Tribolium castaneum: one gene and its partner. The protein of the gene in region 1 purifies or fractionates together with the protein of each later gene. This does not show direct contact. Links are inferred from orthologs where the notes say so. Each region holds a gene or a part of one and is shown on either strand. Other genes may lie near its edges.

Region 1 (4,958 bases):
TTTAGTTAATTCTGGGTTCAACACTCAGCTAAATCAAAATATTTTTCCAAAATAAAAGTAAATCAGAAGATCATTTTGTGTAATAGAAATTCAATTCAATTCAATTCAATTCAATTCACGAGATTCAGTCCTAACAAGCTAAAAATCGTCGTTTTAACATAAAAATTGCGCTATCTCAAATAATTCCGAGAGATTTTATTTTACCATTTTTTATATCAAAAACGTACTTAGTACATAATTTGAAAAAGATTTACTGACTTTATTTATCTTCGCTTTGAATAAAAAACAGCATAAGTTCAGTGAGAAAACTACAGTTTTTGGTGAGAAAAATGTAATTTTAGCAAATTCTGAAGAATTTTGCTCATTTTGAACCAGAAACTTACTCAATTTAAGGCATTTTGTCGAAACAAGTTATCGCTTATATCAAAATAAACTACTTTAACAATCAATGATATTTGGCTCATTTTTATTACTTTGGTTACTAAAAAAAGTTAAATAAAATCGTCAGTTTGAGCAAATTAACGAATTGCCAGAGATTTAGACCGGCATTCTTTTAATTAGAAAAGAATTTACTTAAATAAAAATGTTGTAACTTCTTAGACTGAGGTTGATAAATAAAAACGTCCTGATTAACCTGTATTTAATGGCAAAATTCCATTTTCTTCAGATTTAAAAAGAACAACGCAACAAGTTCAGAGAATTTCGAGCACTTTTTAAACAGATACTAAGCCAAGTTCATGAAATTTTGCCAAAACAAACCAGCTCTCCATAATTATGAGTGGAAACAATGGTATTTCGGCAAACTTTAAGCTCAATTCTTGGGCATGTCAAGTCATTTAGTTGTAATTTGAGCCAAAAACATAATTTACCAAAATATTTTGGCGACGGAAACCAAAACATTGTCGTGTTAAGACAAAATAACGCTATATCTAATAAAAAGATGTTTTAAAATGTCTAAACAAAAAACACTCTATTATTATATAATTTCAATTTATTCACGAAATTAGTTGAAAAAAATAAAGATACTTTTTGGCTTACTATAACAGAGGACTAACTGAAAGATTAAGCTCGTTCTTGTACCAGAAACTCACTTATTCGGAAAAAAAATTATAAATCGAATAAATCAGCCAAAAAATTGCTGTTTTGGGCCAGAAAAATGCTAATTCAACCTCTTCCAGGCTGTTGAACTCATTTTAAAACAAGTTTTCTTCTAAAAATTTCCACGAAATTGAAAACAGACCAAGAAACCGGTAGATAATATTTTTTTATTCTATTATTCAGAAACTCACTTAATTCAAGAAATTTTGGCGAAATCTGACAGACAATATTCAGTTTAGGTCAGAATAATGATATTTCCGCCAATTCCAAACAATTTAGACAAATTTTCCTCTGAAAATTTCCGATAAATTGAGAGCAATCCCTATGGTATGTGTGTATCGGAGTAATTTATTATTCAAAAAAAAAACTCTGTTCAATATTGAACAGAAAATCTGTTTTAAATAAAACTTATGTAGATAAACACTTTCATTGCACAACAGATGGAAACCGTGATAAAAACTTCCTTGATTTCCGAAAAGTTGGAAATAGAAAGTTCGTAAATTTTGATTATAAAAATAAGAAAGCAAAATTTCGCCTTTTGTGAAACTGTTTAAAACATACAATTAACCGTATTTTTGTGGTATCTTGCCCACTTTTGCACCAGAAACTCACTTAGTTCAAAAAAATTGGCTAAATCTGCCCAATATTTGTTTTAAGTCAAAATAATGATACTTCAGACAATTTAAAAAATTGAACTCATTTTAAAACAAGTTTTCCTCTAATATGCCCAAAAACTTGGAAAACAGTCGCTGTAGTATGTGAGTAATGGATTCATTTATAAGTTTATTACTCAAAAAAAAATAACAGCAAAATATTTTAGGTGAAAATAATACTATTGATGCAAATTTTGAAGCATTAGCTCAATTTTGCACCATAAGCTCAATTAAAAATACTTGCTTTGAGACAGAGTAAGATTATTTCAGCCGCTTCCGAGCAATCTATGTCGTTTTCGAATAAAAAAAACTCCCTGAATTCAAGAGATTGGCAGAAACAAGTTGAAAAATTCATAGCCTTACTATAATAATACTATTACAGCCAATTCCAAATGACTTTGTTTATTTTTGTTTTGAAAACACTTATAAGCCCAAAGATCTCAGATTGGATCACAATTACGCTATTTCATCTTATGCTAACATGTCTTTAAACAAATAAAATTTAAATTTTAAATAAAAACTTATGCAATTAAACTCAAAAGAATCCCGGTAAAATGACATATATTGTAATTTCATAAAAATAATTTCGCTGTTATTTTCAGAACATTAGGAAGCTTACTATACGTATGAAAGCAAAGTTTTATCTGTTTATCTGTTTTGAAAATGTTTCAAAAATACATTTAGCAACGGTGAAATCAGTTGTACGTTTTGTTTTAGTTTAGACATTAATTCATAAATCACTTGCCTCAAACCAAATAAGTATTTAAATCACTGGTTAAAATAGTAAAAAAGTCATCTTTTTTAAACAAATTCCAGAGTAATAATATGATTCTGGCAATAAAATACTACACGTACGTTCCACAATTGAGGTAAGAAATTGGACAAACTGGTAAAAAATTAATAATTTAAAATATTATTTTCAAATCATTACCTGTGACAAGGACTTGGCGTGAATTTTCCTGGATATATATCTCGTGCGAATTTGAAGAAGGGCCGAGGGTCTTGACTGAAATAGCTGATATCAAACATTGCTTGCGGGTCTGGAAGATCTGGAAAATCTATCGCCAGTCGAACGTAAATCCCATCACGTGATCGAAAGTCTGGAATTCCACACGAAACAGACACTCCAGCGCCGGTTAAAACTATTATATTTTGTGCTCCTAAACCAAACTTCCGTCAAAAAACACCACTCATTTATGAATTAAATGACAAACCTTTAACCAATCGAACTACATCGTCCAAAGTATTAACATGTCGCAATTTGTTCCGTCGTGGCGGCTCGGCCAACATGTTTATAATTAATTTCCAGAGAGTTATTTCGTCTACATATTGCGGCACTTGATCCAGATCCACACCCAGATCGCTCAGCAGCGTTCGGGGATTCACGCCGTTTTGCATCTGTTTTTGAATCTGTTGCGGAAAATTATTTATTAGTTATTTATTATACAAGACGATAAAGAGTTTGTGTATTTGCAAAAAAAAAATTACAGTGCTATTAGATTTACTCAACAGAGTTGATAAAGAAATAGTTTAACAGCTACTACAGAAAAAAAAGATTGTTTATGGTAATTATATCGTACCCAAATCATGCTGCCAGCCATTGGTTTCCAATCTTGTCCAGAGAGGTCCGAAAGACCGCTTATTTCGCTAACTGTGGAGGCATTGTCATCGTCGGCTTCGATACTGTCCTGAGATGTGTCCGCTTGATCTGTTCGGGATGGTGTTAGAAATATTTCGGAAAGACTGGATAAACTCTCTGGGACATCGCCGGGGTCAGTGTGAGGTGAGGTCTGGTGTGAAGAAGTTGGAATTGATTCTAACGTGGATGCTTCATAACCGGAATCGCAATCAGGTGATATTCCTATCAAAAAAAAATGACGTTTACAATCCCATCGCTCAATTTTTTTATTTAATTTCGTTCTAAATGCTTTTGTCCGCTTAGTTTTTGTACGTAATGCATGTATTGTCGATTGTTTTACAGTCCCTATTATGAAAAACATGTTGGTTTTTTACTTTTCAGCCCAATATGTTATATCTTTTTTATTTTTAAAAAATGACATTAAAAAAAATAGTTACTGATTGATAATAATTAATAATCCATTTTCGTAAAAAAAAACAAAAAAAATAATGGTTTTTTTCATCCTGAAATGACTTTCAGGCAAAAGTGAGTATTCGATACCATTGTACTTTTTTTTTGGTTGGGATTTTCCAATTTTTACACACTTATAAATAACTTCCGCATGTCTAATCTTCTAGGGGAAAACTAAAATCGAATGAGTTTTACCAATCTCTAATCATATAACTTACTATGTATTTTATTTATCTGGTTTTCTAGCCTTACTAAATCATGAACATACAAAAAATTCTTGATATTCATTTGCTCTCCAATTTAAAAGTCAGGAAAAGTATTAGGTACGGGGTGGATTTGATAGTATTCCATACATTTTAGGGGTAATAGTAAAGCTCAAAAGAAGTTAAAATAACTCAACTTGCCTCATAGTTATAGTTTCTGAGATATAAATAATGCAGCCTCCACTTTAGTATCAAAATACTCGTCAAAAAATGCAATGTAAACGAAGTTTGCGTCTTTTGATTACTTTACTCCGAAATTGCCATGGCTAATAGTCGGTAACATTTGAGAAAATGAAATTCGATAAAGTAAAAAAATATAAAAAAAATTTAACATTATTTATTTATTTTTTGTGGAGTCATAACAAAATTAACAAAATATGCTTAAAGGAATGATAATATATTTTAAAGAACTTACTTCAAAGATCAGATTTTTTACAATTTTCATTGGTAAAGTTTGGGGGTGTCCCATAAATTTATATAAATAGTCCCATAAATAGTGTCAAATTCACCCTGTATGTTTAAAATCTATATTTCCTATTTTTTTGAATTTTAAAGTAAGAAATTAGTGATTTTAATGGTTATAAGGCCAATCTTACCAACCCTAGTGTCGTCTGAGTTATTTGTGTAAATATTAAGTTAACATTGTAGTGTTTATGTAACTGCATAATTTACACTTGTCATTTCACTGTAGTAGTCTTTTTTCTTGGAGTAAATTTAAATTAAATTTAAGAAAATTATATAAGGTCCATAAAAATCCCAAATGAAGAAAATTACAAACATAGGTAACGTGTAATTTTTCTAGGAAAAAAAAATAAATTCTAATTCACTAAGATCAGGTCAGACACAATATTTGTA
Region 2 (4,685 bases), on another chromosome or scaffold:
TCAAAGTCAATCACTTGCTTGATTTTCCGGCACAGTTTGTACTTTGTTCCGGGCTCACTTCCAGGGGGCGACATGTTGGGGCAATCCATTTCCAACTCGGTCTTATATTTGGCAATATCGGTGTCGCTACATCTCTTATCCGCGTAACTGTTACACTGGTAACATCTAATGGCGTTACCTAAGAGAAAACGGATGATTTTTTTTTTAAGTTAAAGAGGGTGTGCATTGAAAGTGTTTTCATTTTCAATGAACATAATATAGTCTCTTCGTGGAACACAGATAAATTTGGTACAGAAATAGAATAAATTAGTGTTTATCATTCATGATATGACTTGCGTCAACAAAAACAAATAGTATTCAGATTTTCTCAACTTTATTCTCTCTTTATTCCCAAATGGTACAGCTTATTGATCTTCGAAATGAAATTGCGCGTGCGCATGCACCTTTTTCTTTTTTAAATTAATTACGATTAATGCATTTACATGTTTCTGATTAATAATTTTTTTAGCGAAAGTATTTCTAAAATTGTCTACAATACAAGTAGCGATTTACTTGAATTGGTGGAAAAAATTGGAGGGGTCTCGAAGGGTGCGAACAATAAAAGTAGTTGATTATGTAATCATTACTGTCTCACAAGTGTAGCACTTCACAAGTGTAGCAATAATTAAATAAATTTATGAGAGGCATAAGTTAAATTCGAACTGGAGGGTGTTTTATACTTACTTGATTTCAAACACACTAAAATAAGAAGAAGGGATAGTCCAGTAATGTATTGTAAATGGACCATTATTGGTTTGTGTTAAAAATTTCAAACGAAAAGAATTATTTAATTTAAATAAAATTAGATTATATGATCACGAAATGTTCGGTTTGAGTTCAATATGAAGACTGAATGCAGCTTCAAATAGGGCCTGCGCGAAACCTTGATTCTAACGGAAAGATTCATAAAGTGCGATCTGCGTTTAAGAAAAATATAACGGATTGTTTTTTCAATTTTTATTGATTGATAGTAAATGAACTGAAGTGAAGAAGGGTTACCATTTCCGTAATTACAAAAAAAAAAGTTGGCGTATACGTGTTACTGATTTGCTATGATGTGGCTCGATTAACTCCTACATAGTTTTTTTTTTCCGAAAAAAAAAATGTTTCGTTCGTGTTGCAAAGTCTGCAAAGTTGTGTCTACCCTTTAATTTATTATCCTAATTAGTATTACGAAACCGTTTGATACAATTGGATAATTCACCATATCCGTCCAAATTTGTTGCAATTGATGAAATAACACGTTGAATAACACCATCCATTTTTCCGCTTTGCGAAGGCGAGACAGGAAGTGGCAAATATTCCCTGTGGAATTATTATTTGCAAATCAATTTTATTTGGGTTTTTTAACCTATGAACCGTTGATGTATACCAAGGACGGACCAAGGAGCTCCTTGATGCATACACTCGGGGACGTATTTTGATCGAAAAAGTAATTTAAATGAATTATCCTATTAAGGTCAAGGGAACTGTGTTTACCCTAGGCAAACTAGCTCATACGCTACAAATAAAGCAGGTTAGGAATTTTTTCGTCATTTTGAAGAAATAGACAACTATTGTTGATCTCTTTATTACAATTTCTGTTATTTTAGTGCCAATGCTTCTTATCATACATTTTCTAAATAAAGGTTTTTTCCTCGCATGATAATTAAAAATAGTTATCTATTTGGTTATTACCATAATTTGTTTTTATTTTGTAGTACTTATCGCATTTAAAGTCGGACAGAATATAAAATATTTACACTTTTTTCTTTGTTTCCAAAGTTTTTTTGTAAATTAAATCACAATTTTTGAATGAAAATCGGCTAAAACTTTAGTCGTTAATATCACTGTCTTTTCATTTCTTAAATCGTATTTTTTGGATGGGGTAAGATGGGGTTCAAAGATCATGTTGGCAACCCGTAAAACACTGCGGTCAGTTTCCTGTAGAATTGTCTAGGTGTCGCTTTAGCGAATCATTTCGACATGACGTCATTCTCATTTCTGAAAATCCATGAAAGGGATGACTCATTCATATCGAAAGTTATTACGTCGTATTTGTTAGTATTCTGTAGTATTTCGAGAACAATACTACACAAGAAGTTAAAAGTTATATTCAAGAAATTTTCAAGCCAGTGTTGTGCTACATTGTGAGTCATTACAAATAAAAGCGCTTTGCTTTTGAATGTGGTGTTAAAGTAAGTGTTATAATATTAAAGATTCATTATTTACTTTTTTACCAAGTAATGCTTGAGGGACACCTCACAGACCTTCACTTTGTTTTCTTCTTCGAGAATCTTCATTTCTCGATATTCTTTTGTTTGCTATTGACGTAACTTAACCTAAAATTTCCATTTCAGATTTTATGGAAATTAGTGATTCCGTTTATTATTCACTGTTGGCTTTGGTCGTCGTGCCTGTTTACCTATTTTTCAATCTTTGGTCGTGGTTAGGTTGGGAATTGTACAAAAATAATTGATAAAAAAAATGAGCGGACCCAACTTTGAAAGTCAGCAAAAAAACCTCAGTAACATGAAGAAAAATCTCACTCTTGATCTTAATCAGTCGAAAATGAACATGAACCTATCGTTATCCCCCGACATCACGTCCGTCCTCAAAGTAGATACCCCTGACCTCCTCAAAGTGGACACACCCACCATTGAGAACATCATCTTGGCGAATAATATTTCACACACGCCTTCCCCTTCACTTATCTTCCCGCGGGACGTCACTGTGGAGCAAGAGAAGTTTGCAGGCGGTTTCGTCGAAGCGCTTAATTATCTTCACAATGGCAATTCTCAGCAAGGTTCTGACAGTAATGCCAGTACGGTTTACAGCGAACAGCAGAATTTCATGCCTGTGATCAAAGAGGAGCCCCAAACGGTGCCCAACGTGAATAATACGCCCCCAATGTCTCCTGTCGATATGGAATATCAGGAAAGAATGAAATTGGAGCGAAAGAGACAAAGGAATAGACTCGCAGCCTCTAAATGTCGTTCCCGCAAATTGGAACGAATCTCGAAATTGGAGGATAAAGTCAAACTGTTGAAAAGTGAGAATGTTGAATTGGCTTCAGTGGTCAACCAGTTGAAGGAACACGTGGGGATGCTCAAATTGGAAGTGATGGAACATGTGAATGCTGGCTGTCCCATCATTGCGGGACAGTTTTAAGGATAGAGTACGATTTATATTTTTTTATAAAAATTATACACCAGAGTGATTTTTTTATATTTTGGTGCTGAGATATTCATAGTTGTAGCTTTAATACTGTGACCATATTTTGTATGGAGCCATTTGAATTGTATTATTTACGGTAGATTTAGCGCGATTTGTTTTATTTTATGTAGTTTATCACATTTTTATTAATAAAAATTGTCTCAGTAACAAGTAGTGAATTCATTAAAAAAAATTGGTTAGAATAAAAACAATGGAAAATGGGTAAAGTCTTTAATTAACAATAAATAAAATTCTTTTGTCAAAAGCGACAACATAATTATTCGTGAAACTATATCATCATATCATAATACTGTAAGCGGTCATATTTCTTTGGAAATTAATAATTCTTCTACCCCCATGCGACCCCGATGTCTCCAGACTCTATAACGAGCTAAATCTTTCCTTGTTACCATTCCTATAACCTCATTTGTGTCATTAACAATCGGCAAATGTCGTAAACCGAGAGCTCGGAATAATCTAAACATTCGAGGTAGTGATGCCGACTGAAAAAAAAAAATGATTAAATGCTAATTACTTGTTTTTTTAATTACATGAAGCACCGTATATGGTGACGGATTCATAAACGGCCTCAGATCAATAGAATAAGTTTTTTCAACTTCGGAAACACTCACTTGCTAAAGAATTAAACTTAATTACTTAAAAAGGAAAGGGCGAGAGAAATACCACTACCTCTATTGTTGGATATCGGGGATACTCATCTCGAAAGATTCCCGCATTAATATCCTCCCAAAAGTCCGAATTTTCGTTAAAAATCTTCTTTTTCAAAATAACAATTAATTGTGACCTCAAAACTAACCCTCTTATTCTCCCATACGTGGTAACTTCCGATTGATCAGTTAGTGGCGGATCAACAACCGGAAATCCGTTATAAGTTGTTAATTTCAACAATTCAACAATATGCCCCACATTCTCAACACACTTCAGTGTAACCACCGGATGCGACATCACCTCACTGGCGTAGATATTGTGAACTAGTGGCGGGGGTTCCCATGGGAGTAACGGAACACCACTGAGTTGTATAAGTGTGTCATAAATTCCCTCATTGAAAAAATCACCAGTCCATTTTGCCGCAATTAATGTCAGAATTAGAGGCAAAGCAAAGGAAATGTTTCCTGTCGTTTCCATTATAATCACTGTCAAACTAATTGTCATTCTGACTACGCCTCCTAATTGAGCGGCTGCACCAATCAGGGCGTATTTCCCCGGATGAATGAGAACAGCGTCGGGGATTACTCGAAATAGTCCGACTGAAATAAGCCGACCCCAAGCAGCCCCCGTTAGGAGAGTCGGTATAAAAAGACCATTAGAAGAGGCAAGACCAAAAGTCCATGACGATAAAAAGAAATAAACTAGGACGAAAAAGGCCAGAGAGGTGGCGTTGTGCGTACTTGGGGGATCGTGAAAAAGAGAACGGACTGAGGCTTCAGGAG

The links. Proteins that work in one complex are often made in the same cells at the same time.
Region 2: the proteins of Sirt1 (region 1) and Jra purify together in Homo sapiens (affinity purification with mass spectrometry; 4 studies listed by BioGRID and IntAct, with this or other methods). This does not show direct contact. The link is inferred for Tribolium castaneum from reciprocal best matches to the Homo sapiens genes SIRT1 and JUN.

Annotation. Positions count from the first base shown.
Region 1 is NC_087394.1:11,919,451-11,924,408, reverse strand, and holds part of Sirt1 (NAD-dependent protein deacetylase sirtuin-1), read right to left. Parts: intron 3,613-4,958; coding exon 3,332-3,612; intron 3,162-3,331; coding exon 2,966-3,161; intron 2,912-2,965; coding exon 2,683-2,911; intron 1-2,682. UniProt on the Homo sapiens protein: NAD-dependent protein deacetylase that links transcriptional regulation directly to intracellular energetics and participates in the coordination of several separated cellular functions such as cell cycle, response to DNA damage, metabolism, apoptosis and autophagy.
Region 2 is NC_087399.1:145,347-150,031, reverse strand, and holds Jra (Jun-related antigen), read left to right. Parts: upstream 1-2,072; 5' UTR 2,073-2,216; intron 2,217-2,264; coding exon of another isoform or gene 2,265-2,337; intron 2,338-2,378; coding exon of another isoform or gene 2,379-2,497; 5' UTR 2,498-2,505; coding exon 2,506-3,189; 3' UTR 3,190-3,405; downstream 3,406-4,685. Other genes in the region: uncharacterized protein LOC663924, read right to left, coding at 1-178, 724-787; phosphatidylinositol N-acetylglucosaminyltransferase subunit Y-like, read left to right, coding at 2,265-2,337, 2,379-2,497; ClC-b (H(+)/Cl(-) exchange transporter 7), read right to left, coding at 3,555-3,737, 3,786-3,869, 3,925-4,685. UniProt on the Homo sapiens protein: Transcription factor that recognizes and binds to the AP-1 consensus motif 5'-TGA[GC]TCA-3'.